4 linked regions of the Drosophila melanogaster genome follow. The protein of the gene in region 1 interacts with the protein of each later gene in a pairwise test. Each region holds a gene or a part of one and is shown in the gene's direction. Other genes may lie near its edges.

Evidence for each region.
Region 2: the proteins of elfless (region 1) and Dora interact in a two-hybrid assay, tested with the Drosophila melanogaster proteins (one large-scale study listed by BioGRID).
Region 3: the proteins of elfless (region 1) and RpL40 interact in a two-hybrid assay, tested with the Drosophila melanogaster proteins (one large-scale study listed by BioGRID).
Region 4: the proteins of elfless (region 1) and CG5478 interact in a two-hybrid assay, tested with the Drosophila melanogaster proteins (one large-scale study listed by BioGRID).

The regions. Positions count from the first base shown.
Region 1 is NT_033779.5:18,007,209-18,015,431, reverse strand, and holds elfless (elfless), read left to right. Parts: upstream 1-3,956; 5' UTR 3,957-4,055; coding exon 4,056-4,169; intron 4,170-4,225; coding exon 4,226-4,354; intron 4,355-4,420; coding exon 4,421-4,498; intron 4,499-4,566; coding exon 4,567-4,935; 3' UTR 4,936-5,789; downstream 5,790-8,223. Other genes in the region: CG31740 (uncharacterized protein), read right to left, coding at 5,939-6,124; CG42635 (uncharacterized protein), read right to left, coding at 6,606-7,004; CG42634 (uncharacterized protein), read right to left, coding at 7,094-7,438; CG42659 (uncharacterized protein), read right to left, coding at 7,715-7,864.
Region 2 is NC_004354.4:18,860,033-18,868,903, forward strand, and holds the start of Dora (dorado), read left to right. Parts: upstream 1-3,917; 5' UTR 3,918-5,407; coding exon 5,408-5,687; intron 5,688-8,871. Other genes in the region: CG32544 (uncharacterized protein), read left to right, coding at 282-437, 489-893; CG7326 (uncharacterized protein), read right to left, coding at 2,202-3,650. UniProt on the Drosophila melanogaster protein: Substrate recognition component of a SCF-like E3 ubiquitin-protein ligase complex that promotes target-directed microRNA degradation (TDMD), a process that mediates degradation of microRNAs (miRNAs).
Region 3 is NT_033779.5:4,224,712-4,231,661, forward strand, and holds RpL40 (ribosomal protein L40), read left to right. Parts: upstream 1-2,987; 5' UTR 2,988-3,096; intron 3,097-3,300; 5' UTR 3,301-3,313; coding exon 3,314-3,700; 3' UTR 3,701-3,850; downstream 3,851-6,950. Other genes in the region: CG3702 (uncharacterized protein), read right to left, coding at 173-2,056, 2,136-2,177.
Region 4 is NT_033777.3:15,932,200-15,939,439, reverse strand, and holds CG5478 (uncharacterized protein), read left to right. Parts: upstream 1-5,705; 5' UTR 5,706-5,753; coding exon 5,754-6,545; 3' UTR 6,546-6,740; downstream 6,741-7,240. Other genes in the region: Sap47 (Synapse-associated protein 47kD), read right to left, coding at 3,100-3,314; blp (black pearl), read right to left, coding at 4,803-5,065, 5,126-5,288; Fbxl7 (F-box and leucine-rich repeat protein 7), read right to left, coding at 6,937-7,240.

The DNA.
Region 1 (8,223 bases):
TTAAAGCCAGAGTTGCGGCCATATTGGCAATTTAGCCTATGAATACCCGTGCTAAAAAACATGGACTTCAAGGACACTCCCTACCATTTTTTGTCCAGTTAATCCCATTGTTTGCCAATATTGCGTGGCAATATTTTTAAGCCGCATTTATGCGTTCGTTTATATTTAATTTGCATTCATAAATTTGCATAGGTCACCATTTCACTTCGGCAAAAACCAAAGTATAATAAACTTTTGCGTTTATTTTGCAGCATTTTGCACTGAAAAACCAGCGAAGTAAATGGCGCTAGGCAAATAAACTGGAACTGGGATTGAATTGTCACAGCTGCAATTTTTCAAATGTCAAATCAAAACAGAAAACCAATTACTTTCGATGATTAATTACCACATTCTGAGGAACAAATGCTGCAGACCGCAGAATGATTTTGATTGCGAACTGGGCTAACAGTTCGTTTGATTTATGATGCGATCAACCCTTTGCTGACAAGTCCCCGATGTGACGTGGCACTCATCCCATATTCCCAAAGGACCCCCAATCCAAAGTTTCCTGAACTTGGTCCTGCGACATGGAAATCACCTTAAAATTCATAAGTTAGTCCGGAGGGGGACAAGACAGCAAAATTTACTAAAGGTTCCTGGGGGCTCCAGGGAGAAACCGCAAGTAAAACAGCAGCTGCATGTCATTAAGTATATGGGAACCCCGGCGTAATCCTCACCACTTGGCGCCGCGCAACATGGCGGATGCGTAACGCGACCAACTTTTCAGCGCTTCATTTCTCGAACATTTAGAACACCCAATTTTTGGAGTATATGACACCTTTCCGCCGACACTGCGTTTTATTTAATATTTTTTGCCTATTTTTTTTTTTTTTTTGTTTAAAAGCTGCAGATTATGCGCACAAAAAGCGACAGTTTATGTATGAAATTATGCAAACCAGACCAGCAGACGATAATGATGGTGGTTTGAAATCCTGCGGCTGATGATGATTATTTTCCACAGTCAGGACTCTTTAAGTCCGTCAAGGCCGTCGCAAAAGTGAAAAAAGAGTTGCGCTTTGTTCAAAATAAAAGTGTTTTTTTTTTTTTTTTGGGATTTAATGATTAAAATTAAAAGTGAATTGTTATATGGCTGCATGGAAAATTCATATTTTAATTACAATTTGCTTCGGCCGTAAGTGACCCAAATTTAAATGTATAAAGAAAGAAAGGGTTCCTTTCAACCCTTTGGCAGCCGACAGTGTCCTCAGCTGCATGCCTGGTTGCATAATTATGATGCCAAACTGGTTCGCTGACCAGCAAGAAAAAGCATGCGAAAGGGAAAAACCCCAAAAGTCTAAAACCCAAGTTACTTGAGCATGACGAATGGCTTTGTTGAGTTTACCACTTTTTCAGGAGATTTTATTAAAAATTCCTTAGACACAGGTGCTGTTTGCAAAAGTTTCCAATTCTCCTTCTGCCAAATAATGGGATGGATGGTTTTATTTCTTTGGCGTTCTCTGTGTCCTTAACGCTGGTGAAACCTGTTGTCGAGGATTAAATATTAATGGCACCCATTAATATAATCTTCGGCCATCCGAAACCGATAAAATTTCCCTAATGTCGCGATATTTATTGGCTCTAATTTATGCTCGAGAGAAAGGAGCCCAAAATCAATAACACTTCTGTAATTACTCATTGATTTATTCTACTCAGCTATTCAGGGACGTATTTTCAGATTCTAGGAAAGTTAATTTTTTCGCGGAAACCGTTTTAAGCGAAACCCTCTAAGAGCGGAAGTATACGCGATCTGATATGTTCGCGAGTGCGCAGGTAGTGTTTGTCTTGCGGTTTCTGATTGGCAAGACATCCGAGCAGGTGTAAATCAATCTTAGCTCAGAGGTAACTACTCGTGTGCCTTGGAAATATAAAGATAAACAACAATATGCGTGGCCAATGGGAACGTTTTTCAATCGATTTATAAAATGCTTTTGGTAGTTGTACTTTGGTAGAACTGTATAGAATCATGTAAATTCATATTTATTAACATTTAGATCATATTTTTATAACTTTAAATATGGAAATTAAATACAAAAAAAAAATAGACAAGGATAAGATAAGGTAAATTTATTCATTTTGAGCAAATAAATATGGTTTTCCATCCATAGTTTTTTAACATGACACGTGGAAATTTAAAAATAAATATAATAAGTCTGCCCCATCCAACCCTTTTCTTCCCAAAAATAACAGTTTGAAATTTATTATCAAATGATATATTATAAAGTTATTATTATGGAAGGTACTGAATCAGGTTTGACCTCTTTCTTCTCTTTTTCGCAGCAATAAATTACGCATAAAATTAATTCCAGGTAATGTTATAAAAACAAAGTAAACAAAATCCAGGGATCCTTCGTCAAACTTACCCAATGCACAACGGCATGTAAATCGAAAATTACCAGAAATTGTCACTTTACATCACGCCTGCTGCAGGACCTATAAATCATACTGCACACACACTTATGCACGGGCGACACAGGAGCCACAATCTGGTCTAGTATTTTGGCAGCGCAGATCCTTTCGGGTATGAGTGTGCGAGTGAATATTCAAATCAGTTGCTGGCTGCCAATAAATGAAACTTGCCACACATCTCACTCACTGAGCGCACATACACAAACACACGCCCACACACACTCTTAAATTGTGTCGGGATATTTGAATGGTCCCGTGTATTTAGCAAATGAACCGTACTTTCTGTTCTGTTTAACTTTTTGGCAACCCGCACTAACCAAATATTACAGACTTTAGCACGGCAAAGCGATCGGCGAACGGGAATCAAGCTAAATGCCAGATGAATGGCACCGTCATTACGACTTTCGCAACTCTCGGGCTGCCAATTAACTCGCCCGATAATTTAATTACGGTTAGGGCCTCCAGGATTGGGTCCTGATGTGTTGCCAAGTCTTATCGGCCAGATCTGCGGCAGAGCAATCCTACGGATGAAATACGCTAAAATCACTGGGCTGATTAAGCCGAATCGAACTGCAATCCGCACTCTGCGCGAGCCAAACGTACACTGAAGTCGGCCGAAAGCGCGCTGAAAGTTAAATCGGAAGTCGAGAACGCGGCTGGAGCTTCCAACGGCTCGAGACAGTCCGAGCGGCACTTGCAACATGTTGCAAGTTCGTGTGTGACTTCGGGAATTCTATGTTGTTGAGTCCGGACTTTCGATCTTTGAATTTCTTTCGTTGTAGGGAGTTACTTCTGTTAGCATATTTTTTAATTTTATGTTAACCATTTAAGATACAAACATGAGAGAATGCTATAGTCGAGTTCCCTAACTTTTAGATGCCCCTTACTCAGCTAGTGGGAATACGAACGCGAAATTCGATCATTTTTCTGGGATATCGATGAATGTGAAAACATTTAAAAATTGTTCTAAAGTCTGGGCGTTAGAGTGGGCATGGCAAAAAGTTTTGTGTCTAATCGATAAGAATTAACAAGACTAATAAAATTATAAACAAATTTGATTTGGGCGGTTTGTCGTTAGAGTGGGCGTGGCAACAGGGCCAAAAAATCTGTGCTGCGTCTATGTCTCTAGAATCTGTCCGCTTAATCACAACCTTCTTGCTTTTATAGTTCCTATGATTCTTTCATACGGCCGGCAAGACAGGCGAACATAGCCAGATCTACTCGGTTTTGTATCTTAATTAAATGGAAATTCCTTCTATTTGTTTCAACGAATCTAGTGTACCCTTTTACTCCACGAGTACCTGGTATAAATAGTACTTCTTAGGGTGACAATCCTAAGCAAATATCCAATTTGGAAATCATGGAAATCGGACAATGATTGTTGGCGCGTTGAAATGGTACTTTTTATCGCAGTGTGACCTTTGGCACTTAAAATACTGGTATTGTGTCCTGGAACTTTCAAGATTTTTTGACATATGTTCAAACAGCTTTCTTGTAAATTTGCAAATAAAAAGCAAGGAAACGGGTTCAACTGAATTTGTAAAAAGTTGTAAGTTCCAAGGCAGAATTCATTGGTAGTATTAAAACTGCAAAAACAGGTGCGATTTCAAATGGGTGATTCCAGCGACTCAGACTCTTCTACTGAATGGGAGCAGAACACTAGGGTTATTTCCTTACCCTTTTCCAGAAACCGTTCACATTTGAGCTCTCGCCTCAGTTACCTGGTAAGTTCATGTTCACCCAGCTCTGAAATCTATTGATAATACACTTTATGGAATAGGTGGGACTTCAAATGGAAAACTTCAGGACCTCGAATAATTCTGGAGTATCACAGCGAATCCATAACACCGGGCCCACTCCCGTACTCGCGCCCTCCGGATTAAGATCCCGCTTACTCAGCGGTTCCTCTGTAAGTTATTGTTCTAGCCAGGTCCCACCCAGAATCCATTGGTTACATTACAACATCATTTAATAGGAGCGGAATCCAAATGAGTATTACGGAGACTCGGACTCCTCAAGCAGCAGCAGATCTATCGACAGAACCCCATTCCTGGTAAGTTCTTGTTCGTTCATCTCGATCCGGAATCCATAGGTTTTAATAGCTTTAACTTTGTTGTGCAGTTGGAGTATTCCAGCGACTCAGAGTCGTCTAGTTCCAGTGATAGTGAAAGCTCATCGACCAGCATTAGCTTCGATAGCAGTATGAGCTCCACCGAATCATCAACACCAATGGGACATACAGAATCCTCAGATTCAAACGAGGATTCTCCTCCCAACAAACGGATCAAATCAGATGACGAGGAGTCCAAGAAATCTGTCTTGCCCTACAACTGCCCTGTGTGCCTGGAAGATGTCCGCGAGAAGCTACCAGTGTCCACCAATTGTGGCCACGTTTTCTGCAAAGCGTGCATTAAGAGAGCTGTCGACACTGGCAGGGTATGCCCATTGTGCGGAGTGGATGAGCCCGAATTCCATCGTATTTTCTTGTAAGACGTGATATGGCAGAAAGCATACTAAACTAAAAATACCACGGTTTTAAATACCACAAATAGACTTGTGGCATATACTTTCGAAAGACCGTAACACAATATTCACACCTAAAGAAACTGTTGCTCCATTATAACAACGCAAACAAAATCTTATCCCAGGCAACATACTCAAGAAACACAATGCAATCGAAAACTTTCAGCTGAGAAACTAAAACTCAAATACAAGACAGACAACTTTGGCCATAAAACATGGCGCAAGGACACACTCGCATACTTGCAGGAAACCCCGGAAAAATGGAAGGCAAGCAATGAAAATTCCGACCTACCGCAATAAATTCCGCGGAAAAACAAAGCAAGTGATGCCAAAATAAGAGTGAAATGGCCAGCTCACACACACACATGAATGTAAATGAAGTGGAATCACCACCTCAGAAAAACTCAGGGACACCTCAGACACGGCCCTGTAAATCGCGCTTATCCAAAACACAACATGGCATCAGGAGGCATTGGAGATTCAGTTTCATTTTCATTCAAAGATTGAATAATAGAAGGGGGTGTTCCATCCCTACCCCAACAACCTTTGACCTGACACAATGCTCTACATTCTATGTTTTTGTTCGAGTTGCGCGTTCGAATCGCGACTGCGCAATAAACCTGATGCCCCAAACAGCTGTTCTAGGCAAGACCTAGGACAACATTTGCATCCTTAACTGGAGGCTGGCCATCCACGTTTACATTGACGTAATCCACTTGCCAGGTTGGATCTATTCGGTGTTGAGATATATCACAAAGCAGTTCCTTTTGTACTTTAATTCATTTTATTACTGAACAGCTTATAATAAAAATTCTTTATGTATACGAGAGCTTAGTTGGTTTAGCCCCGGCCAAGGCAAAAAGGAATTCGAACAGCAACATATTTCTCCAGCAGTCTTTTCCAGAAGGTTGATCTTTAAATTGACTTGTTACCGCTTGCTGCCGTATTAATGCCTATGATAGCGGGCGCTTCACCAGCCGCAAGGACACGAGCTGCAGCCACCACAAGGACCACATGGACCACAGCAAGGACTACAGCAACCTCCACAGGGACCACATCCGCAATAGGGAGTTCCTCCCATCAAAGGAGCCAGGCAGCCGGGTGGGCAGGGTCCAACGTAGAAGGGATCGAAGCTGCAGCAAAGCATCAGAACCATCTTGAAAGTTTGGATTTGGTAAAGGACACTGGAATCTCTTCTAAAATCTGCAGGAGGGGCTCAAAAGGTACGGCTGCAACCATTCAAAACGGGGTTTGTTATTAACAAAACATTACCAAATATTTAAAAATTACTATAGGGAACAAAGCAATTTTACAATTTTTAAATTGTATAACTTTTTTATTCAATTTTAACGAACTAGAACGTACCTGGGATTTTTTTTCCTGCTGAAGAAATACGTTGAAGTTAATCCTTGGCTACGAATTTAGAATTTTTGTTCAATTTTTCATATTGTTTTTTTTTGTGTTTTATTTTACGAAAGAGATGTGTTCAGTCCAAGCTGTTCAAAATGAATGAGCTCTCTAGGTTTCGAATCCCACAAAGCCCACAAGATGAGTGAAGTTTATTTCCAAGGCCAACTAGAGAAAACTAAAAATTTCCTTTTTTTTGCTTTCTATTCGACATAGTTGCTGACTAGATCCTACTCCTCTTCGGTTAATTCTGCCGCTGGCGGTGTTTCAGGTTTTACTACTACCGGTTCCGAGTCCTTTTTATCCTTTTCGTCTTCCTTGGAGGAGCCCTCGGAATTATGTTCACTGCCAAACTTAGGAAGCAATGGTCCTACAAAGGCACATGCCTTGCCTCCAATACTTTGTACCACGGAGCAGGCGCCATCCATGCGATCGCCCTCTACTAGAGGAGTTTCGCCCTCGACGGCGGACAGCTGATCCGCCACTGGACCACCGCGCCTCACAAGGTCAGCGATCGGATCACGGGTTTGGTTTAACACCCTGCCACCCACTTCAGTTAACGAACGGGAAACTACCATAAACAGGGCCACTATGCCCGCAACTCCGATGGCCGTGTGAACCATTTCCATATCTTGGGCAAAGGAGCAGGATCTTCTGGAGGATCAGGAGGGTCGATGTCGGATTTTTCGATCGACCACGATGACAAATAATTCTAGGGCTACTCTCCAGCCATCGCCGAGATGGTATTATAGGTCGAACGGGCCAAGTTTCGGATACTTCGCGAAATTTCATTTATCAGGTAGTTAATGTCATCCGAACTGACCACCTGCTCCTGGTCGACATGGTGCTCCGGCGTTGAATCGTTTACAATCAAGACTATTTTACGAACGGGCTGAATCATGCCGGATACATCGATCACGGGCTCCGACACATGGTGATCAACCAGAAATGCCTGATGCATGATGATCACCAATTGGCGGATTACTGGCACCACGCGATCGAGGACGTTGATTGCCATTGGGGCCAGTACGTGGTGTACCACGTGATCCACAGACGAGGACATGACCAAGAGACTTGAATTTTGAATTTAGAAAACTATTTTCACACAATTTGCGACCTGATAAACTAAAATTCCCAGGAGTTCTAATTTGAAATCTAAGCCATTTCGATTGGAATATTTATATTATTTCCCCAGCAATATTCAACAGTTTGGTGACGATGAATCAATTTTATTATTTCTCTACATAGATGTGTGCGAGGCTAATTGGTGTGCAGTTTCAAAGTTCAACTATATTTGTTCCCGCCGTTATTCTTGCATTTTATACAGGTACTCGTCTCGTCAATAGCTGCTATAGCAACGACTGTGCCAGCCACCGGGGGTGTATCCTTTGTAAATGTCGAAGTTGCACGGACATACTGCGCATCTCGGATAGGGGCCAATGTAGAAAGGGTTTATGGCCGGAGTCCAAGGACGACTTAAGTAAACCATTTTCAGCACTCGAAAGAAGTCTGCAAATCTTATTTTATAAATACATCTCCCACATTTTCTCTTTCGAAACTCACCGGAAATGGAAGAGAAAAATGAGAAATTTAAACAAATGTTTGACCAGAACAACACGTTTCGTGCTTGAAATTTGAATGAAGAAAATGCGTATGTACGCTTATGTGTTATTTTGTTGACATTTAAATCAAGAATGCTGGTTTAAATTTATTTGACTTCATTTTAGATAGATCATAAGAAAATGAATTAATTTTATCTGTATTTTTTATCCACAGTTATTTTGTGCTAAAATAGAAAAGAGCTGGTAATTTGAGGTTAATATATATTATTATTGTTTTTATTATTTA
Region 2 (8,871 bases), on another chromosome or scaffold:
AGTGTAGCGACTATGAGTGGCCCTTGAATAGGAGAAATGTAGACAAGTGTGTTTCATTGTAGAAGAACAGTGCTGGTTTTGATCTTTAATCTAACTCTAACTTAGACTTAAGAATCATCGTTTGTTAAAGCTTTAAGCCTCAGCATCAGCTGTGGCCCAAAACAGCTGGAACAGCGCATGCGTTGTGCCCACTCCATGCACAACCAAGTGGGTGGATTGGGGCCACGACCAGCAAAAATCGATGGCATCGCCAGTCGTTGGGTGATAGAGTGTTCGGAAGCATGTCGTCGGAGCAGCCGGAGAACACCAGCTACGAGCAGGAATGCCAACGGGCGGAGCTGCTGGGCCTCCAGCCACCGGATCCCGCGGAGTTCGAGCGCAAACGGCAGGCACGACTGGAGCACGAGTTGGCCGAGCAAGAGGCCGCCGAGGCGGTGGTATGTTATGACCTCTAACCATACGAATCGCCACTAAAATTCGCTCTCCAGCTGCTGGAGCAACAAGACGAGAGTCTGGGCAATGTGGGCGGCAAGCTGGGCGAGCTCAATAGCATCCTGTCCAGCACGCAGCAGAAGCTGAATCGCTTCAAGCAAACGGCATGTGGCAGTTTGACCAACATATTTGCCCGGGCCAGCTCGGGCTCGGTGGATCTTTCGGCGGGCATTGGTAGATCGGGCTCAATCGCCTCCACCCAGGAGGAGCGTCCTCCTGTCCAGGAACAGCCACTGGCCAAGCCTCCGCCGACGGCTGCCGAGGTCAGCGCCGCCAAGGCGGCCAAGCAGAAGCGCATGGACTCGCAGCTGGACAAGCTGGATGCGCTGATCAACCAGGCGGACAACGCTCAGATAGCCATGAGTGAGCAGACACAGCAGATGCGCCGCCTGGCCAAGTGAAGTGCCCCCTTGAGCAGGTGATCATCCATTGCTGACCCGCGAAGCCCACAAAGAAACAGGCGTTTGCTTCATGAAATGAATGTGTATATGATTCCAACTTTATTTATCCTCACTCCTCAGGTGATCCTTGTCGCCTGATCCCGGGCAGCCTTCTTCTCCTCTTCTTTATTTGGATGAACACATGAGTTTCGCTTAAAACTAAACACAAGTTGAGATTACCCAAAGCGTCTTCAATCACATTTATCGAGTGTGCAGACAGTGCGAGTCATGCATGACTGTCTGTAGTACCGTCTTACAGTCACGGCGCGCACTGCTCCGCCTTACATTCATCCCATTTTGACTTTAAATATATACATATAAATAGTTGTTTTCCATATACTTTACATCAGAGTTTTGAAATTACAATTTTTCTCGGCTATTCGTTGACATGCGTAGTTGCGAACAGAATTACAAATGTTGGACAATAATAGTTGTGTGTAAATGTTTACGCAGCTAAATCATAGTTCATACATATTCTGTTTTAATCTTGTTTCTGGAAACATATTGAAGTATATTAGTATATATTTATAATATATGTTTTTCGTAAGCAATAACTTTTCTTTTTTCGTTTAGTCCATTTTTTGTTTTTTTTTTTGTTTTGGTAAGTCACATTTTGGAAAACTTGTTAATTCAGTTCTTTGAAAATATATTAAAATTGAATATTTTCAATATTTCAATTTTACTTTTAAACTATTACTCTACTCTCATTTTTTTCTCGTTAACTTAAGTGAATTAATAGGGAACGTCAAAGTGTAAGCAAAAGCAAACAATCTTCTTACTTTTCTTCAAAACATGTGCAGTGCGTTTCGCAGCTGTAAGGCCAAGACATTGGCACTTACAGTCACGGAACGCACTGCATTTGTGCTAGTACATACATATATATAGAAGTCGTTTATCCAGCTAATACTTGTTGCAAAACGTTTGTTAAACTATATATAATATACATATATATATATAACGATCGAGTCAAGCAATAAAATCAAAATTTTCTTCACAAAACAATAAATAGTCTTTGGCGTTATCAATTCCGCGTACTGTTAATTCATTCTAAGCGAATGTATAACGATAAACAAAAGCAAAGGATGTGAGGATTTGAATCAAAGGCATAGTAAAGTATTTTGGATGGAATTGATTATCAATCAAGGGCTAACTTTAAAAAAAAAATATCTTTGACAAATTATTGGGCCAAGTCCGTCTTTGTATAGTGAAAACAAGTAACATAGTTTCCGACATACAAGCTATGCTTGATTTTTGAATCGGATTGGGTCACTACTTGTCCTCCGGCGAGGCGGAGGTGGCCATTTTGGCGAAAGACCGCGGCGGAGTGGGGCTGCGTTTCTGCAGGGTACGCATGCCGAGCGAGTAAGCCGCCGTGTCCCCCGAAGCGGTGTCCGTATCCGAGTACTCGTCATCGCTCTCGCTGGCATGTCCTGCATCCGTCTCGTACGGATCCACCTCCTTCTGATACACGTTGCTCATTTGATCCGTAAACACATCCGAAGCGACGACCCCGCCGTCGTGTTGATCCTCGTTCTCATAAAAGAAGTACGACAACTGCAGGTGCTCCTCCGCACAGTTCGTGCTCAAGGCGTCCGGAATCAAGTGGCCATTCGTCTCGAGGCGCTTCTGAATCTTTAGGAACATGTTCGGTGATACATCCATTTGGGGCAGCGTCTGCTGCGCCTGCCACTTCTCCAGCAGCGGCGGATTGGCTCCAAAAACGCCGTAGTACAGCTTGCAGGCGCGAAAGCAGCGTAGTCGGTTCGAATTTGGGCGAATGCGACGCAGCACACGCAGCTGTGACTCCACCACGTGCAAAAACATGTATTGCTGATTTCGGTTGGGCAGCGAGGTGACCAGCACCGCACGACTGGTGTTCAAACAGAGCTGAGGCAACGGTTGAGGCCACAGCGAGTGCAGCAGACGCTTGAAAAGCTGCGTTAGCGTGGAGTTTTGGAAGAAGTGGCGATCGGGGGCATTTGTCGCCGCTCCTGCGGGACGCCAACGTACTGCATCAGCCCAGATGCGAGCGGCGGCGCCATCGAACATGGTCAGCCCCAAATAACGCATGCAGCGCTGGCAGTACAAGTGATCGTCGCGATTGAGCATGCACGAACTTTCTTCGTTAAAGTTGATGACCACATAGTTGAGGCCATAGAAAAGATCCGTTTCGGCGGGCACTAAGCTAATTGGTTGGGTCTTGCCCGCTGGTCCATGATTGTGGCAAAAGAACTCAGTGGGATCCACCAAGAGGCTGGGAAACTCCCTCAACCTGCGATAGCTTCGGCCTGCCACCAATTCCGCTCGGCAATCACGACAGTTGATAGTGATGGGCTCGTTCTCCTGGCAGGAGAGGAGTAGTGGCGCCAGAGGCACGTCCACAGCGCTTCCATCCACGCTGGCCAGATCAATCTGGTTGTAGTTGAAGCGGAAACTGATGTTCCTGCCACTGACCAAGAACGTGGACAGGCAGACAATGTCCATACCATACTGCGCGTGCCGGATGAGCATCAGCTTGTCGGAGTCCTCGCTGTCGCTTTCGGAGCTGGAATCCAAGTCGATTGCCTGATTCTTAGGTTTCTCGCTGATATAAACATTGTAGTCGCGGACGACGACGCGAGTCTTCTGGCTCTGCGAAACCTGTTGGTCGAATCGCAGGAAGACCACGCCGCTGCGTAGGTTCGGGCGCAGTTCGATGCACAGCCCGGCGATGGGCATCTTGACCAGTTCCTGGGAAAGCGCGAGAAGATTGTGAACACCACCAACAAAATGGGCCTATCGTTACTTATGGTTTTTCGATATTAAGAGCGTCACTCGACAAAAACTATCGATTGTCAAGAATGAATGTCAGTGTGACCGTCATTTGAAAACTGGGAAATCGTACGCGGAAAACCGATACTATTGACCTTATCGAATATTCAGCCGAAAATGATCGAAAACCCATATCGAGTGTGTGAGCACTATCGCTGACCACTAACACCAACAACGTTTAGGAGCAAAAGAGTCGACGATGCGATGGGTAAAAACAAAGCCCCGTGTAAAAGTGTCCGAAAACCGTGCGTAGCATCAAACAAATCGTAACTCGGCCAGCGAATCTAGGTGCCGTTGTTTTCGGGGACGCGTGTGCAGTGCCGTTTTAAGTGTCGGTAATCGCCAAAATCCACAAAAAATTTAAGGATTTTTTAAAAAAACGTTCGCTAAACGCATTTCGTTCGTTCACTCACACACACACGTAAACCTAACACACGCACAGACGCAGACAAACACAACGCGCAGCGCATATACACACACAAAGAAAAGAAGGCAGTGAAAATCGACAAGCGCACGCATGCACACACACACTGACAAGCACGCAGGCGAAAAAGTGTTGATATATATCCAATATATTGATGTTGTGTGCAACGTTGTTGTTGCTGCTGCTACTGCTGTGTGAGTGAGTGAGGGCGAGCGAGAAAGAGTGAGTGCGGTGCGCGCAGGATAAAGCGAAGATGAGCCACAAAGCGAAGGAGTGAAAAAATAATTAACGGCAAAGCGGACTGCAAAGCGCAGAGCGGATAAAAGAGGAGCGTTAACAACAATAACAACGACTGGGGGTCCCCTGCAAAATCAACAACAACAGCAAGAACCACATCAACAATAATAACAGAAGCAAGAACATCAACAACAAGAACTACAACTACAAATTGGCCCTCTTATTTCGGCAGTCGCATAGCATAGCCCCATCTCGCTCTCTCGTTCGTTGGGGGATACGAAAAAGTTCACATGCAACAACAACGACAACAAACAATAGCAGTCGCAGTCGACGCGGGCAGAGGCAGCGACAGAGACCGCGGCGCACTGAACGTATTTTGTACATATAAACAAAAATAGTTTTTAAACTCCCCAAAATCTAAATCTAAACCTAAAGTTAAGTCTAAAAGGGAAACTTAGAGCCCTAAGCATAAATCTACAGTTAATAAGTTAATTAAAAGCAAGCGAGTCCGGCAGTGTGCTTGAGTTTGAAAGGGGAGAACCGAAGGAGAGGAACACAGCGAGAGAGAAAAGAGGAAGAGAAGAACGCTCAAGAGAAATTCGCCTTTTACACGATTTTAAATTGAGCGTTTGGCAGAGATCCATTATACATATACATCCATCCAAAAAGAGAGGAGAGTAACAGTGAGAGAGACGGAGGAAGAGGAAGCTGAGGAAAACAAACAAACGGGGGAGCAGCTGAAGAAGAAGAACAAGAATCAGCTTCAGCAGTAGAAGGAGCAACTGTAAACACACACAATCTCAGCCTCACGCTGGCGAATCGCAACGGCGGCAACAACAACAGAGGAGGAGGAGGCGGCGGTAACAACAACAACAATGGAGGAGGCGGAGGAGCGGCTGCAGTCGGCGCTGGCGCCGAAGGAGCAGCAGGAGGCGGCGCAGGAGCCGGAGCGGCGGGCAGAGACGCTGCAGGAGCAGCGGCCAACGAATGGAATCCGGAGGAAATGGACCGCTTCAGCTTCGACGACTCCATCCGCTTCGAGGAAGACTCCCTCTGCAGCTGGAGCTCTGAACCGGAATCGCTGTGCAACAACTGGCGCGGCTGGAAGAAGCCCGCTGCAGGCAGCGGCGCAGGCAATGGCGGCTTGAGCGGCATGGGCGGTATGGCTGTGGCCGGCGGCTCAGGAGCACCGCCGTTCGGAGGAGCAGGAGCCTCTGGTTCCTGCACACCGGGCGGCAATGGAACGGCCATGGCCAACACATCCACCTGCGGCAGACATTATGGTGAGTAGCATCTCCTTGTTGCTAGGGCGGGATTTAGGGCAGTGTACCCGGACCATTGAGCATTACACCAGTGAAACTACAGTTGTGAAAATCACAGATACAAATCTAAACTGAAGAGAGCTTCTTAAAATCCGAAAAACATTGTACAACATTGACAGTTTTTAGAGTTCGAAAAGTGTGCGTCCTAAAGATATCAAAAAAGTATCCTCTTTTATTCAGGAATTAAGAAAGACTTTCTCATAAGAAGCTTTCATATGTCGCATACAAAAGATATTGACTTCCTTAATTGTTTTTAAAACCATAAGGCAACCAAAATAGTTTATACCTATAACTTTCCCTTTACAATGAGAAACTTACATGTACATTTTATACAGATTTATATCCGTATAGCGTTAAATAATCAATTACTTGCTACACAATTTACTTTTTAAGCTAAGTAGAGTGATATGCTTTAGTTCTATGTTTTACTAGCTTGGTCGCATTTGGCTATTTGCAATATGGCTACACTGTGCTGCCTGTAATTATACGCATGACCTTTTCGCTTTTGGTAAATTCTGTAAAATTGACTTAGGCACAACAACGAGCAGGCTGTAATTGTTGTTGCCCTCTGTCTGCAATTGTCTTCTTCGTTTCCCCGCATTTCCTCGAAGTCCTCTGCTTATCGCTGAAGTCAAAATCACGACTTTGGCTGCCAACGTTTTTTATTTTCATTCGTTTATACGAGTTTCCTTTTTACCTTTTTGTTGCGTCCCTTTGTCTTTCCCTGTGGCTCATTACGCTTGTGCATGTGGCTGGGGTATTGTTTTTTTTTTTTGTTTCGGGCCTGCCAAGAGACGTTCCTTACACGTTTTCTGTATCCTGTGCGCCGCCGCACAGCACTATCATCATGTAATATCTGGATATCTGGCTGCGACTGCGCAGTTCGTCCTCGTCGCTGTTTCTCTTTCGTATCCTCCATTCGTCTTCGTCATTTGCCCATCCACTGCATTCGTTTGCTTATTTTCCTTTGTTTGACTGAGCAGTGTTGCTGTGGGGGGAAACAGGACTATATTTGGAAGGGTCAAAGGACTAAACAGAGCGGCAAAGCCGCCAAAGAACCTCCAACCATTCAGTTGTCTTCTTTGTGGATTCTTTGATAGCCAGGGTTACCAGCTTGTTGATTTTATTGATATTTATTGATACTAAGCACTAGTATTACAAAATATAGTATATGTACTAGGCAAAACTAGCTGAACTTTGCTCAATCTTAATCATTTTTATCTTTCTGTTATGTTATACAAATCTTTTACTTCCTATAAACAGAGGAGTTAGCCAAATATCTATTTGTTCATATGCTGTTGGTTTGTAAACCTAAAGGACCAATAGATAGTAGCTTAAGCTATTCGATTTTGGCGGGAAAATAGCCAAAGAGCTAGCCCTGCGACTGGGTTTGTGTGTGTGTAGTGGCGAAGCCAGCTGCATTTTCATGCTCGAAAGACATAATAACCGCATCAAAAAACTATATTGCCTCAAAACGATGTCGCTGCTGCCAGCTGAACACGCTGACGTCGACTTCGACGTCGATGCTGAGGCGACGAGAGCCTCGCTTTGTTGTGTCAAAGAACCTTTTCAAGGATACCACCACAACCTGCCCAAGGGGATGTAATAAAAATAAAGACGAGGACGACGACGACGACGACACGGAGGAGAGTCCATTATTCCCATCGCACCTTGTAGCTCCTCCGCCCCGTTTGCTGTGGCTCCCCAGATATGGTAGTTCTTCAGATAGTTGAAACGGAAGAAGCCCATTGATTTGATCCACAATTGTCAACGGCTTCTGATGCGATTGAAGGCTTATGTATATACATCATAAGAATTCTGTGCGTTCGAGCATTTAACATGCCATAATTGAAATGTTTTAAGCCAAGCTATGGTGCGCAACCAGGGGGTTCTATTTATTTTTAACTAGCATCTTACTTACTTAATTTGAAGGCATGATTTACCATTAAACAGAACATTGGAAAACGAACATCAGTTAACGCAAGTTGCATTTGTCTGAATGTAAGGTTTGGTGACCTCAATCGATAATTATACTGATAAATTCCTTGTCCGTTGTGTGTAAAAGCCAAATGGAAATGGCCTTTATACCGAATTGCACAAAACCCAAGTGTATTTGATTGAAAATAGAGTATGGTGACCCCGATCGATATATATTTAATTAACGTACTGATTGCTTCCCTGCCTGATTTAATTAAACGGCAAATGGCAATTTGCGTGTTGTCAAATTGCAATTGACTTTAAACAACATTAAACAACATTTCATTAGGAACATTACTTAGCTAAATATATAGACTATGGTGACCCCGATTTGTTACTATTCCGCAAGTTTTCTTTTAAGGAAAAGAGAATACCATTTTAAAATAAAAAACAAACTTTAGCAATTAAGCTAAGTATAGTTTTGAAGTGGCCCCAATTTTATAATCCTACTTTTGAGAGCTGGCATCCAGGGGATGACAGGAACAACGCAGATGAACGTTCGCCAAGTGCGCCCCGCATAAACGTAAAGCGCAGAATGTCGATGCGATGCAATGACCCCGAATAAACCGAAACCGTGCAATGGTCACGCTGCAGTGCTGACAATGCAACTCCGTGTCCGTGAGAGGTGTGCGGGTTGTGAATATGTGCGTGCCTTGTGTGGCCAGCGTTGCCACATGTCATCATCTAATTAGTGGGTCGAGGCTCGCTCGGTGTCAATTTCGAACTGAAACTGAAACAGAAACAGATACCGATACAGATACAGATACAGCGACTAGCTGTATTTTTCACTTTTCGCCGTGCATATCGGTCTCGCGCACTTCCGCAGCCAAAACAATTGCACCAACATATGTTGCACATACATGTGCAGAAATGCTTGCTGGCACTTTGACCTGACCCCTTTTTTTGTTATTTGGTTTTCGTGCGAGCTTTTTGTGCCGAACAACCCGAATTTGTCGCTGGAAAAAAAAATATATATGTATGAGCATGGCACAAGTACTAACTATCAGCATATTTTCAGCGCATAAGTCCATAAGAAGTCCAAGGAAATGATTTTTGATTATAATTTATTATTTAAAATAAACAATTCGCATTGCTTTATGCCAGTGTAAGGCAATTTTATCACTAAGCTTCTTCAAAAGACTTGTAAATTATCATGACCATGTGTTAA
Region 3 (6,950 bases), about 14 Mb from region 1:
GGAAAACAAAAACACAAACATACGTACATACAATTAGCCCTAAGAATGATTCTATCGGGATTACTTGACTATGTATACTGGATAGTGATTACATACATATTGGGGGAGTGGAGTATATGGTATTGCGTCTTCTAATGCTAATGCATACTGTGGTCACAGCTCTGCACTCCTTCTAATCCTGCTTCTTTTGTGCAGCTGTCTTTTTGATCGCTGGCGCAGCCTGGGGACCTTCGATGGCTCCATTGGCTGTCTTGCCCTCCAGCTTCTGGGCGGCATGCTGCTGCTCCATCTCCCCGGAGAAGCCGAACTCATTCACGCGCTTCAAATCGACGCGATACTGCCAGCGCTGGTAGAGGAACACAAAGAAGATGATGTCGTCGCGGAAGCAACCCAACCGGTACATTGTGGGCATTTTGATCACAAACGCAAAGATGTCATCGATAAAGGTGTTGAGGAACTTGTAGGTCATCATGCGCCACGGCATGTGGGCCACCGACTTTAGCTTGTAGTTGATGAATAGCTGCGGCGTCATCAGGATGAAGCCAAAGGTCAGCAGATAGCCGTACAGCATGTTGAGCACAAATGAGTACCAGCCCTTGTGCTCGTTGTAGATCAACGAGTAGACAAAGTAGGCCACCAGGAGCGGGAAGCATGCCCAGCCCAGGTACTTGAAGGCCAGTTTGTCATAGTCTTTGGTCGAGCTCTCCGAATAGGAGCCCTTGTCCTGGAAACTGATTCTCGGCAGCACTCCCAGAATCTTTTGATCGTGATCGTAGTTGATATCCACGACCTTGTGAATCTTCCACACCTCGATTCCCAGTCCCACGAAACAGGAGATGCGAATCATGAAGTTGGTCTCGTTGTCCAGCACGTACAGCAGGATGATTAGTGACTGGAAGACACCGAAGAACACCGATCGTACAGACAGTCCTTCGAGCGACTTGCGATTGTTCCAGAACTGAATGTCGTTCTTGAAGGCCAGCAGTTCGAACACCGAATGCAGTATGGAAACGGCCACTGTGATGCCCAGCAGGTAGATATTGGTGTCCAGCAGAGTCTCCTTCAGCGAGTCCTGATCCTCGTCACTCTCCTCCGGCTGGCTGGCGGCCATCAGCTCACCGAGCATATTGCCAGCCCACTTGTTCTTCATCTGTTTGGCGGCATACAGCTGCCACTTGAACATGCCCAGCGGCTGGAAAGTGAGGTGCAGCTCCAGTTCGGGAGTGGTCTCATTAATGGGTTGATACTCCCGCTGAAGATTCCAGTAGTCGTTGACGAACAGGATGGGCAGATAGGTCTTACCGCCGTCTACGAACTTTACGTAGTCATCCAGTGGCGGCGGCACAGATCCCTCGGCCCAGTTAGTTTGGTCCACTACGAGATTGACCGTGAGATTAGGATGCCAGTGAGACACGATGGTATCCTTGAGATTCGCATGCTTGAGCTCGTGCTCCAACTTCTCCTTCTCGCTGGCCAGCAAGTTGTAGTTGCGGTTCACACGCAACTTCTTGAACTTGTTCAGCTGATGTTGCTGGTGGCCCATTTTGGTGGCGTAATTCGGGGCTTTGGGATCGGGACTCATGCCGGTACGCGTGACAAAGGCATGTAGGTACACACTGCCATTGTTCATCAGATGCTGGCTGGTCTTAAGCTTCAAACTGTGCGTGTAAATGCCATCTCCGTTGACGCCCGACGTCCAATCGCCATAGGTGAGGTCCTTCTGTAGCCAGAGGAGATTCGCCTTTTGCTGGAAGTTAACCACATCGGGATTCTCCGACAACCACACGTGCAGGTCAAAGTCCGTGCCGTTCTCGAAGTAATTCCAGGCCGTGATCTTGGGACCCGCATTAGCGACACTTTTGCCTTGACTGGCGGCATCGGGCGCAGGTCGTCGGAAAAAGGAGCTCACAAAGTAGATGATCAGGGCACGCAGGATGAGGGACTTGGTCATCGCAAAGAAGGACTCCATGCGGGTGGGCTGATTCGGCGGGGGTTGTTGTTGCTCATTCTGGCCTTCATTTTGGGCCAGCTCAGCGTTACCATTGCCCGCAATCACCTAGAAAAAACGATGAGAACCAGGTCGCTATTGTCAGGTGATTGGGGTTGAGAAAGGTTTAAGTTTCTCAGATACTTACCGCACCCTCTGCTGCGGGCTGATCTTCGCCTGCTTTCGACATGCTCTGTTCTCAAGGGTTTTCCACGCTTTTCCCTTAGTTTCCCGTTTTCCGCACAACTTGTGCTACTGTCATCGATAGGTAAGTGTTGAGGACCTATCGAGCCATTAGAACTTCGATATCGAAAGGGGTATTTTTCAGAATCTATCGATTTGACGCAGAATGGAAAAGCACGGTGTTCTCACTATAAAGACATACTTTTTTCACTAAGTCAAATACAAATTTATTTATTATATGTGACATATTTAGCAATACACATTTTTAGAATATCGTTGGCTTAAATGTATATCCCTTACTTACTTATACTTACTTACTTACTTATACTTATACAACCTAGTATTCAATTATTGTTCTTAGTAAAATGGACAGCAACTTGAATATTTTTGTATAAATTCAAAAGGTTTAATATCTGAAAAAATATTTCATAAATTCATTAAAAATATAATTTAAATCGATTAGGCGGTTTTTCAATAAAAAAAAATATGCGTAATATGTAATATTTGAACCTTATCTAAAATATAATTCTATATACAAGTTTTGATTTCAATTTATTTGTATACAATGCAAATAGCATTTTCATGCCATAATAATATAATTTTGAATTAGCTTAGCTATCAGTGAGGTAGCGTTGGGCTATAAAAAAACACGAAAAACTATATGTTGATATTGTAAAGTTGGTCTCGGTTCAAATGGTAAAGATATTTTGCATTAATTAATTTGAGTGTCTGAATATTTTTTACAGTTCCATTTAGAATGTTTTGGTATTTAAAAAATAGTATTTTGGTATATTTGCAGTGCTCGGCGGCGGCCACACTCTCTTTTCCCTTTTTCTTTTGAATAGCATTTGGTTGCACGTTTCCTCTGGTGAGTTTCCATTAAATATATTAAAAATAAACGAAAAATCGCAATAACGTGGCAGAATGTAAACATATTGTTGTTTAGTGACGTATTTGTGATATGAAAAAGATGGACACTGGTGCTTGTCGACCGGTGGAGCTGTTTCTGTCGAACGAAACATGCCAGCAAGTCGGACCTAACCTCCAATCTTTGCCCGCTCTTTGGGACGCACAAGTTCGCTAAGAAATCGTACGATTTGGTACTGATTTATGTTTTATATTGCTTTCAGTGACGCCGCCATTATGCAGATCTTCGTGAAAACCCTCACCGGCAAGACCATCACCTTGGAGGTGGAGCCTTCTGACACCATCGAGAATGTCAAGGCTAAGATCCAGGATAAGGAGGGCATTCCCCCAGATCAGCAGCGTCTGATCTTCGCCGGCAAGCAGCTGGAGGATGGCCGCACTCTGTCCGACTACAACATTCAGAAGGAGTCCACCCTGCACTTGGTGCTCCGCCTGCGTGGTGGTATCATTGAGCCCTCGCTCAGGATTCTGGCCCAGAAGTACAACTGCGACAAGATGATCTGCCGCAAGTGCTACGCCCGTCTGCATCCTCGTGCCACCAACTGCCGCAAGAAGAAGTGCGGACACACCAACAACCTGCGCCCCAAGAAGAAGTTGAAGTAGACTATGATCATCCGTCGACGGTCCAGGCTGGTCTTTCTATCGACAAAACCATGGTTAACCATCTAAGTAAATATATGTACATTTTGTGAAACCACATCTAATCGAAATGTATTGCATTTGCTGCCAAGGCACAGCCTATTTACACCGTGTATGTTTCTGTTTTCCTGTCATCTGTTTTCGTTTGTGGTCTCCGAAGAACGAGTTTCTGCGGTTTTAGGAAGCTCTTATACTGCAATTAGTTGGCCTCTCCGAGATCTCAGTTAGTTTTTCTGCTCTGTTTCTGGTTCTGTCTCGCCACCAGGAAGCGGGCGACAGCAGCAGGTAATTGATATTCCATCTGCCAGCGATACCAGACCCTTGCGGTCTACTCTTCTGCCCAAGGGAAACAAGGGGACTGGCTGGCTAGTACGCCGCGGATGGTCGAGCAGACCTACTTGGCCAAGCTAAGCCAAGTCCACTTCGAGTACAGTTAATTGGTTTCATTGACCGCCGACTAAGGCGCGCAACGGCTTCCGTGGCCAACTGGTAAACTGGTTGTTGGCGCTCTAATCCATGCTAGCACTTGGTCGTTGGCCCCGCGGAGGCTCTTATTATGAATATCTTAATAACCCAAGAACTGGCTGGTGACGACCCAAAGGGCCTGCCTGATAGGCAGGACATGATAACAAGCGGGAAACCGAGAAGAGCAGCTGCTGCCGGAGGACCAGGCACAAATTGCGGTCAACATTAATTAAAAATACGTTTTTGGGTGACCCGCGCAGATTTCCCAGGCGCAGAATGGGTGGCTGGATTGGAGGAGGGGACGCGACTGATGAAATTGCGGATCAAGCACAATGAAAAAAAGTTAAGGGCCGTCGCCCGCAGGAAAGTCCCAGCAAAAGGTAAGTGGAAAAGCAACCTGAGCTGCCCAGAGGTGAGGATTGCAGTGGCTCGAAAAAAACCTATGATAGTTGATAGTACAGTGGTACCTAGAAATACTTGCTTATAGTTGCTTATAGTATAGTTTTATACCATATAAGTAAAAAAAGTGTATGACACATTTTTTTTAAAGAATTGAATAAGATATAAGATTTACTATAATAACTATATCCATTCAGTTCCGAATTATCAATAGACCACTGTGGCCACGTTCTCGTCCAATATACAAAGGTGTTATATGGGCCAGCCGAGGGTCGGGTATTTTAAAAATTAAGGCTCTGCCTTTCGGAGCTGCAGGAAAAGCGGCTGCTTATTTATGGGTCCCGGGTCCTCAGCCTTGGAGGCCACGGGCTTGAAAATGCCCAAACAGGTTCCAGCCTCCACTGGTCCGTTTCAGCAACCAAGTGCGTGGCTTTCGTTTTTAATTTTTGCAGCCCGTCCAAGTTTGGGTCTCTGTCTTTTGGGCGCCGCCTTTGCCATTCTTGGGAGCAGGACTTTTATGGCCGGATGGGTCGCAGTTTACATAACAGATGTGACCAGAATAATTAAGAGTGCGATTCGAGTGGTGGCCCAAGTGTCCTCATCTGGGAAGTCTCCGCTGGTCAGTCATTTGGCTTGACACTCTTAACGCTCTGGGCGTTGCTCCTGGCCAGCATTAATATTGCAGGGCAGGCACTGCCTCATCCAGCGAGGAGCAGCCTTGGCGCCGCCCATCGCACCATCCAAGCACCACCCACCCATCTACTTTGCAGCGAAAAGTGCTCATTGAAAATTGAACGTTTTCCCGAGTCTCCCCATGCGACTTGCTCGTTTCCATATGCCGGGCGGGGATTGGGTGAGTTATGAGCACCGCTTATGCCACAAAGTCAACTTCTGATTGCCTGAATAGTTTTCCGATTCCCGCCCTGCGCGAACGAAAGTAATTCCGCCCGTAAGTTCCTCTAAAATATGCACTCCGCGGGTTGGAATTCGGATTCGGAACGGATGAGAGGAGATGAGATGAGGTGAGGTGGGAGGTAGGCGATGTTGGCTCACTACTGAGAGCGCATAAATGGATTTTTCCGTCTGCGGAGGAAGAATTTTCAATTTGATATAAATTTCTGCCTTGGCCGGGGCATTCCTTGTCCTTCGTTCCGCCTTTTTCTCCAAGTGTCCTGCCGGCGGAGAGGCAAAAGGATCCCGGGAGCAGCTCCAGATAAGGCAAACAGCCAAACGTTTATAAATTGGGCGCTAGTGTGGAATCCCAATGGTAATGATGGCGGAAAAAAACGAAATAGGGGGCGAGGCCAGGGCGATTCAACTGAGATGTCAGAAATACACACGCACAGGCCAATAAGGAAATATAAATTGCTCCGACGGAGCACCGGGCGTCTCTGGAGTACACCGAAAAGTCCAATATTAAGTCGTAATATATAATGCAGCGCAACACTGCGTATGAGTAATATACTTGTGCATGTATGAATGTAAATTACTTCCAGTTCTTCGAGAGCAATATTATGTATAGTATATTACCTAATTTCGTTGCGTTTCTTATTAATTTTATTTTTGGTCGCTTTCCCTAAAAGTTAAAACTAGTAAATATATTGAATGGAAGTTAACAACAATTTGTTTCAGTGCACGCATACGAACTCAAGCAAGAATTGTAAAGGCAGTGCGTGTAATTTAATATGCATAAATCGATACTTGGCTGCTCCTTCCCCACTACCGCGCCCACTGAATCCTTCCCCAGGACATGTGAATGGGATTGGCTGTAGGCTCCATTCCATTCGGAACTAACCACCTTCCCCGGGAAAGACGGAGCCATCCCTTGCGCCTTTTGTGTTGTTTGTGTTCTATTTTGAGCGCAAAATTGTTATTTGTTTTTACGTATTCTCAGCCTTCTTCCGCTGGAATGGCGGTAGCTTTGCATATCTACAGTTTATGGCTTTCATACAGTTAACATTTTCCAATAGATAAGCACTTCTGGTGCCACCACCATGTGCCCGTACTCCGCCAGCCCTGTTTCTTGTTGTATCGCAAATAATTTGAAAAGTCATTTTATTCAATTTCAATTGTGTCCGTGGGGGGCAGACGTGTAGTAGGGGGGGGGGGGGGGATAAATGGGCGGAAGTGAATGCTCTCGATTTCATATGCCCGATATGAGCGGAAGCCCCGAGAAGTAGGCAGATACAGATACACAGATATACGGATGCGGATGGACGGAATGGGACAGAATGGTATGGGCAATCGGTTAGGCGACATATTGATTTCCTTGATAAATACTTAATAAAAATACACTCAAGTGCCGGCACTCGTCTCATTCCAACCGGAAACGATATCTTCAAGTGAATGG
Region 4 (7,240 bases), on another chromosome or scaffold:
TTAAGGTCCTGCCGAAACGAACTGAAATTGCAGCGAGTGGAGAAGGAGGAGGAGTAGCTGCTGACCACAGGGATTGTTTGGCTGCTTTTGGTGCCAGGCCAGGGCGTTAATTTGGCTGGCAAATGTCAAATGGCGAGCGCTCGGACACAGGGCGTCGTTAGCACCCACGCCATGTCCTGGCAAATGGCGATATGTCCGGCGGTCTCTTGCCTTGACATGAAATTTTAATACCGCCTTTAAATTTAAGTAGCCTGTGGGGTTTTTTTTTGCATTCGGCTTGGCAGCATTTCAATTGGATTCCCGCCGACCGTCTCGTTTCTCTTATTTATATTTTTATATCCTTGGGAAATGTGTGTATTCAGTTCGGTTCAGTTCGGTTCAGGAGGCCAAATGTCGCTCGATAAATTTCTGTGGGTTTTCCATTTCGCCAGTCTCGCATTTATTTATTTATTTTGAGGCCATTGCTTTGATTTTATTATGTTTGCCGTCTCCAGGTGAGCGGAAAAAAAGGAAAATCTCGGCCGGACTTTGATTTCCACTGCTCGTTGGACCCTGGCTCAAATGTAATATTTATATTATATATTTTGAATAGAACTCGTAATACCTATTTGCATATAGAGGGCATATTTCAATCAGGCCAAGACCATGCGACATGTGCAAATATTTAATTCTTAACTTTTGTTTGTGTGCCTAATGATGACCCGAATGACCCAACTGGCTAGCAATCAAGAGTTAGCTGTTATTGTTGGTGAGTAAATTGTGTCAAGCGGCGTTAGGAATGCATTGCGTACTTTTACTTTGTCCAGCTTGTTTGCCAAGCAATTTGGGCGCAAGATGAAATAGTTAGTTACTCGTACTCATACGCCTCCCTTCGTATTTGTTTTCATTTTATTTTGGCATAATTTTAGCAACAAAGGCAAGGGCACACGCATACAGACACATTCGCAGAGAGCAAGTGCAAATAGTGTAAATGTCCTTGAAAGCGCCAACAACTTTGGCCCTGGCGAAGGCAGAGAAAAAATCAGAAAAGGAGCGAGGAAACGCATGTACAGGTGGGGATTTGAGGGGCTTAACTAATGGGTGGAGATGCATTCGCTTATTTCTCCGGCATAGCCTACTTTTTTGGGCAGCCCTTAATCGAATATTGACCGATTTTTGGGCTAAATCACCAAACCCCATTGCCTTCGTGAGCAACTCAATATGCATGACAGCGAAAATTGAATAAATTAATTCATTGAAAATTATAGAGATTTGACGCTGATTGGCGAGCGAGGAAATGAAAAGGACAGTGGCAGGGGCACAGGCACAGGCGTAAAGACAGGCAACAAGCCAGCACACACGTTTTCTGAATGCACAATTATTAAATAGGCTGACAAAAGGACAACAAGGGGGCGGGTCGGGTCGTGGAGTAGCAAATCCTCTAGAGCGGGCGCCATCGTCGTTTCTACTCGTTGTGGCCTCATCACATGTGCACATTTCGCAGAGAGAAGCATAGAGCGTCCTTTCGCACGGCTCTCTCGTATCGATCCGCAAAACGAGCAAAAGTCAACTGGAAACTGGAAAGCAACCACCAAAAGGAACACATCCTGCCTCCGAGCCAGCCCCCTTCCGAATGCTCCACCTCTACCCATCGGCATTGGTGACAGTATTTCGCACACAGCAAGATGGTCAAAAAACCAGAGTGTACGAGTGGTGAAAGCGGACGAGGGCGCCGCCAGCTCGAATGACTCAACATTTTGTGGTTATGCAGGAGCCACGTGCAAATTATTTTCATTGGAACGTACAGAAAACAAAAAGAGTAAAATAAAGACGAGATACAAAGAACAACACGAAGGTGGTCCAACTCGTCAATGTCAATTGATAGTGAAAGGACTTGCGGGGCAGAAGGAGAACGGCGGCCCGTTGAAAAGGCGTGACACATCACGGACTTGGGTTTCAAAGACAACAACGACGACGACGACCACGACGACACCAGCTGTTGGCAGCTGGTTGGAAAAACGTGCCCCGGATTGACATCCTGGCATCCAGCGCACACTCGCACAATTAAATATTAATGAGCTGAATTAAGTGAAAAACAACGTTAGTTGACTTTGGCTGATCTTCCGGATTAGCCAGCAACTTGTGGCATTAACGGGCCATCACAGCGGTCTTAACTTGTCCAAAATATCAGCCGAATAATTGGAATTTACTTTCATTTATTTCGAGGAAATGAAGGCTGAAACGGCAGTAACACTCTTGTGGGATAAAGCAAACTCAACATAACTAGGGTGTGGAATGCCTGCTAGAGATTGATGAAGTACCCAGAAGAAGCGCGAAGGACGAGGTCAAATGATACGGCGAGGTCGAAAAGAAATAGGGCAGTCCTATCCACTCAGTTTGAGGGAAGTAAAAGAAAAGAAACCAGTCGGAAGTTAGTAAGCATGGAGTTGCTCTTTTCCGTTTGCTGACAGTTCAAGGAATTTCCTTTGGTCAACAAAATTAGGGCAAATAAATTCGCTTGGAGAATTACACTACTGACAGTCTACCATACTAAGTAATACATATATGCCAAGCTGAGAGACTCTTTTGAAGACTGATTTATGCTATATTCTATAACGATTCAAATATTTCAACAATTAAAAAGAAATACAGTCTTCACAATGCGATTTGCCATTTCAAGAATAATCAAACGAAATCCATTTAAACCACAAATTGGCCTGGCATTTTCAAATCGAAATTGCTAGCCAGAAATGTTCAGGAAAGTCAGTCGACTAGCTTCGCAAGGAAGCGGAGCCATATAGGATATATATGGGAGTGAAATTATCGGGCATTTGGATTCCAGTTTAAGCAATTATGTTCAGTCACGTGAGAGCGTGCGGAATGCAACGTAAAATGCAGGATAAGCGGAGTGTGTCAAAACAATGATGAATGTACCGTAAAGGAGCGATTGCTGGAGGGTAGGAACTCCACGGAGCGAAATGTTAAAAGGTACAAATAGCAAGGTCACATTGGCACGCCATGTCAGGTCGACTGAAGTCTGGATTTCGGAGTCACAGTCACGGAAGACTAGAAAGATGGGCCGAAGGATTACCCAGCGCGCATTGTTCGATTCACACTTACCTTTTGCCAGCTTCCTCGCCCTCGAGTCCTTCGCCACCGGCTGCGGCAGCTGCCTCCGGGTCCACGGCGGAGGAGGCCGTGGCCTCCACGGATGTGGATGCTGCTGGAGCGGCTGCGGGCGCATCTCCTGTGGGCGCGGGCACATCCTCGTCGCCAGCGCCTCCTTTAACGGCGCCCACCAGCGAGGTGAATTGATTTGTTAGGCCCGAAAACATGTTGGCTCCTGCTGTTTCTCTCAAGGATTGGTGGTGTGTCCTGACCAGGAAGACGTGCGCACGTTCAACGCTCTCTAGGCTCTCTTGTTCTCGCGGTTCTCACGGTTTTCCACTGCTCTCCCGCTCCTGGCTCTCCAACTTTTACTACACTGGGCAGAGGCAGATAGAATGTCCTGTAATGGGTTTTCCTTTCTTTCAGTGTTTCGTTCGCACCACAGAAGTTTCACTTTCAACGCTCGGCGTTATGTAAATTCTCGCATTTAACTTGAAATTTGAATTTTTCACGCTGCAATTGCTTTGTCCAGATGGCCGAGATGGAAGGTAAAAGAATGGTTTTTATTGCTACTTGGCGAGGCGGTGGGGAAAATCAATAAAACGGACTGGGAATTGCGTGGCTATTGGGCACAATTACACGATAAATACTCTGCGATTCGATCGATTTTCCACATGGACACACGCCACGCTCGAGTTTCTTTTCTTTTTGGGTTTATAGCTATTCGCTATTTGCACAACTAAAGTAATTTGAGTCGCAGCCAATTACCACTTGAGCTTTTCTCTGCCAACTGGATTTTGCTTTTCTTATTTTTTTTCTCTTTGGTTTTCCGTTCGCTGCCAGGAGACTTTTGGATTTTCGGCTGCCCACTTCGAAGGTCCTCTGAAAACTGACGGAGCAGCGGAATGTCGATGTCTCAAATACCGAGCTGGAGTGTCGTCTTCGCTCTCTTGGACTCGGGGATTGGGGATTCTCAGATTCGGATTCTCGTATGCGTACGTTCGCTTTCTCCCTGGAAAAGTGGAGTCCACCCCCTCCTCCGCGTTGCTGGGGCGATGGTATTGCGATTTTCGTGGGTGGGATATTTGTGCGCTGGAATGCGCATGTGTGCTTTGGCGTCGTTTTGCTGCTGCTGGCGCAATTAGACAAACAATTGACACGTCTATGGAAACAACAACTGCGCACCAGTAATGATTATTTTCGGTTTGTTCTCGGCCAGTGCTGCCCATCGAACAGCTGACTGCTGTCGGTCGATAGCTCTACCGATATGTTCGCGCATCTCTGGCTTCTGCAACAGCTGATTTTAAAATTTCCAAGTTCCTATTGCGAAAGTTTGGAAGCCCATTGCAGCATTAGTTTATTTACATCAGCATAATTTTAGCTATAGCTAGATCAAGACATGGAACTTTGTTGATACTTAAAATATTTTTATTTTCAAACCCCAAGAAGCGTGATCTTAAAATCGATCCGATTCTAGTTACCTGGCCTGAGAGTAAAATATTTATACCTAACCGCCTGAGCTAATCCGTGTTAGTTTACAAGAATTCCATTACATTTGTGTTCCTGGAAAGTCGAGCTCTTCTCAGAAAGTGTTTACACTTGTCTTCATGTTCGTAAATCTCTATTTACAGCAACAGACTTTCATTTTTTGTACTTAACACGTAGTTTTTAAATCAATTATCAGCTAATTAGTTCGATTGGGACAACAAGGATACTCAGCGTCGCTGCCGCGATCTGCTCTGAGACTCCTCCGCCGTATCTTGCGCTGCTTCCGTATTTGACGACCTCGGCTGCTCATGGGCCTTAATCTCATGGTCCAGCCGCTCTTTCGCCCGGAAAACCTTTGACTGGATATAGAAGGAGCCGCCTTTGGAGCGTTCGTTGACTTGAAACAGATGCTCGTAGTTCTTGGTGATAGCGTCCACGTTTTTGGGGTCATCTATATTCAGGATCTGCTTGGCTTCCTCCAGCGTCATGCCTGCATTGATAAGTAGGTGTAAATAGTGAAATAGATAGCATGACTGTGTCCAAGACTCACCTGTGCGCAGGTTGGACTCGGCGCTCTTGTCGCCCTGCTTGCCACCACCCGCCCGTCGTGCTGCTTCCTGAGATGCGGCGATCTCCTGGCGCAGCGCCTTGGTAAAGGCTCTTCCCACTGCCTGGGCGCCCAACACGATGATCTGGGCGATATACTTGGCCATGACGGTTTCTTGTATTCCTTGGATTCGTACGTCAAAACACCGGCATTCTATGTGTACAGCTTAATTTTGGGTCTCAGAAAACGTGTCGCTTTAATTACGCAACACCGTAGTGACCCTCCGTGTTCCAATTGTACTATTTAAAAGGCGTCCTTCTAAAAAAATGCATACGTAACTTTTAACACTTAATTTCGAATGTGATTTATAATTGTATTGAGCTACCAGGTAAATTTTAGCTTTTACTCCAGATATTTACTAACGAGCAGGCGGCGAAAAGCAGGTGAAACAGCTGATTGGAGATGGTACACGGCTTTCATAATTAGCTATCGATATATATAATAGCTATATCATCGAGAATCGAAATATTTTTAAAACCAATTATTTAAATATTTTTACCACGACTACTTTGTCATCGATAGCATTTGTCAGTTATCGTTTTTAAAAATTCGAAATTCCCTAGTTAAGCCAATGATTCAGGAACCGAACTGGAAAAAGGACTACGACCGTCTGGTCCGCGAGCATTTGAATGATCAGAATCAGACGAAGTCGCTACAACGACAAATACGGCATTTTCGCTCAAAGCGCGTACGACTCCAGAATGAAATCGAGGCGGAGAGCAGGAGCATGGACGTTTGGGTAAAGATGATGGAGAACTTGCACCGCGGAGTGGAGCGCTTTCAGAAGCACCACCACCTGCTCACGCCCAAAAAGCGCAAGCAGCTGCGCCGCATAATGCGAAAGCTGCCCTTGAGCAGTTTGGATGAGCAGGTGCGACTGATGGAGGTGTCGGAGCGGTTGGTGCCCAAGCCGTGCAAGGAGACTCCTGAACCACCGAAGGGCAACGAACGCCAGTTCATCAAGTACTCAGTTCCGCATCAGAAAAAGAACTGTGATCCTAATAATCAATCCCCCGTGGACAAACGGCTGGCCAGGATATATGCCAATCTGAAGGCTCTGCTAAAAATCCACGAGCAGACCTCGTCCGTCATCGCTGATATACATTCCCTGATCGCCACTATTAACTATTTGGAGCGGGGGCACTGCACCAAGATAAAGATCACTCCAGCGGAGGGCTCCAGGCCGTCAATAAAGGCTACCATCGAATTGGATCGGCTGCGCAAGACCAAGCACGGCAACCACTACACGCGGGAAATTATGGACGTACGTCCTCCGTACATCCTTGACCATGTGCCGCAATTGAAACCAAACATTTTCGACGCTCTGGGGAGAAAGGCGAAAAAATCAAAATCCAAGCACTGAACCGTTTCTGGTGGGGAAAATAATTTATTACTCCAAGAATTAGTCTACTTAGACATAGTCTACTGAACATGCTCTATGCTACGCTAGTTCTGTCCTGCGTCAGTTTGATATATACAATTTACAATAATCTCATTTAGCTCGGGCAAAGTGGTGGCTGATTACAGAGAACAATTTAAATTATATCCAAACCAATAGATTATATCGGTTAATCATTGAACTAAGACTTGGGGACTTGAGGACCCAAAAGTCCGTGTATGGCTAAAATTTGCCTGCCACTTCATCAACTATTTTGTTTTTCAAGAGTTTTCTTTGCCCATAAATTCCCTTTATATCTGTGCTCATATGGCCTGCCTCTGTGCTTTGTGGTGTCTACCGCCGGCTATGGAACATCTCAACAGAATCCCGGATTTGTGTGTTCGATGATGCAGCGCTTGCAGTACTTCTTGACCGCCCGGTAGCCCTCGATGGAAACCGGACAGTCCTGGATATTCAGTTGCTGGAGACCGCGACAATAATATGCGATACACTGCACCCCGCGGTCCGTGATCATGTCGCAGCTGCGCAGGCTGAGCTTCTTCAGGTTCGGACAGCTCTCGGCCAGAGCTCGAAGCCCCGCGTCGCTCACATCGCACTTCCCGATGTCCAAGGCTCGCAGACGTGGACAGGATCTCGCCAGGACCGTAATGGAGTCATCG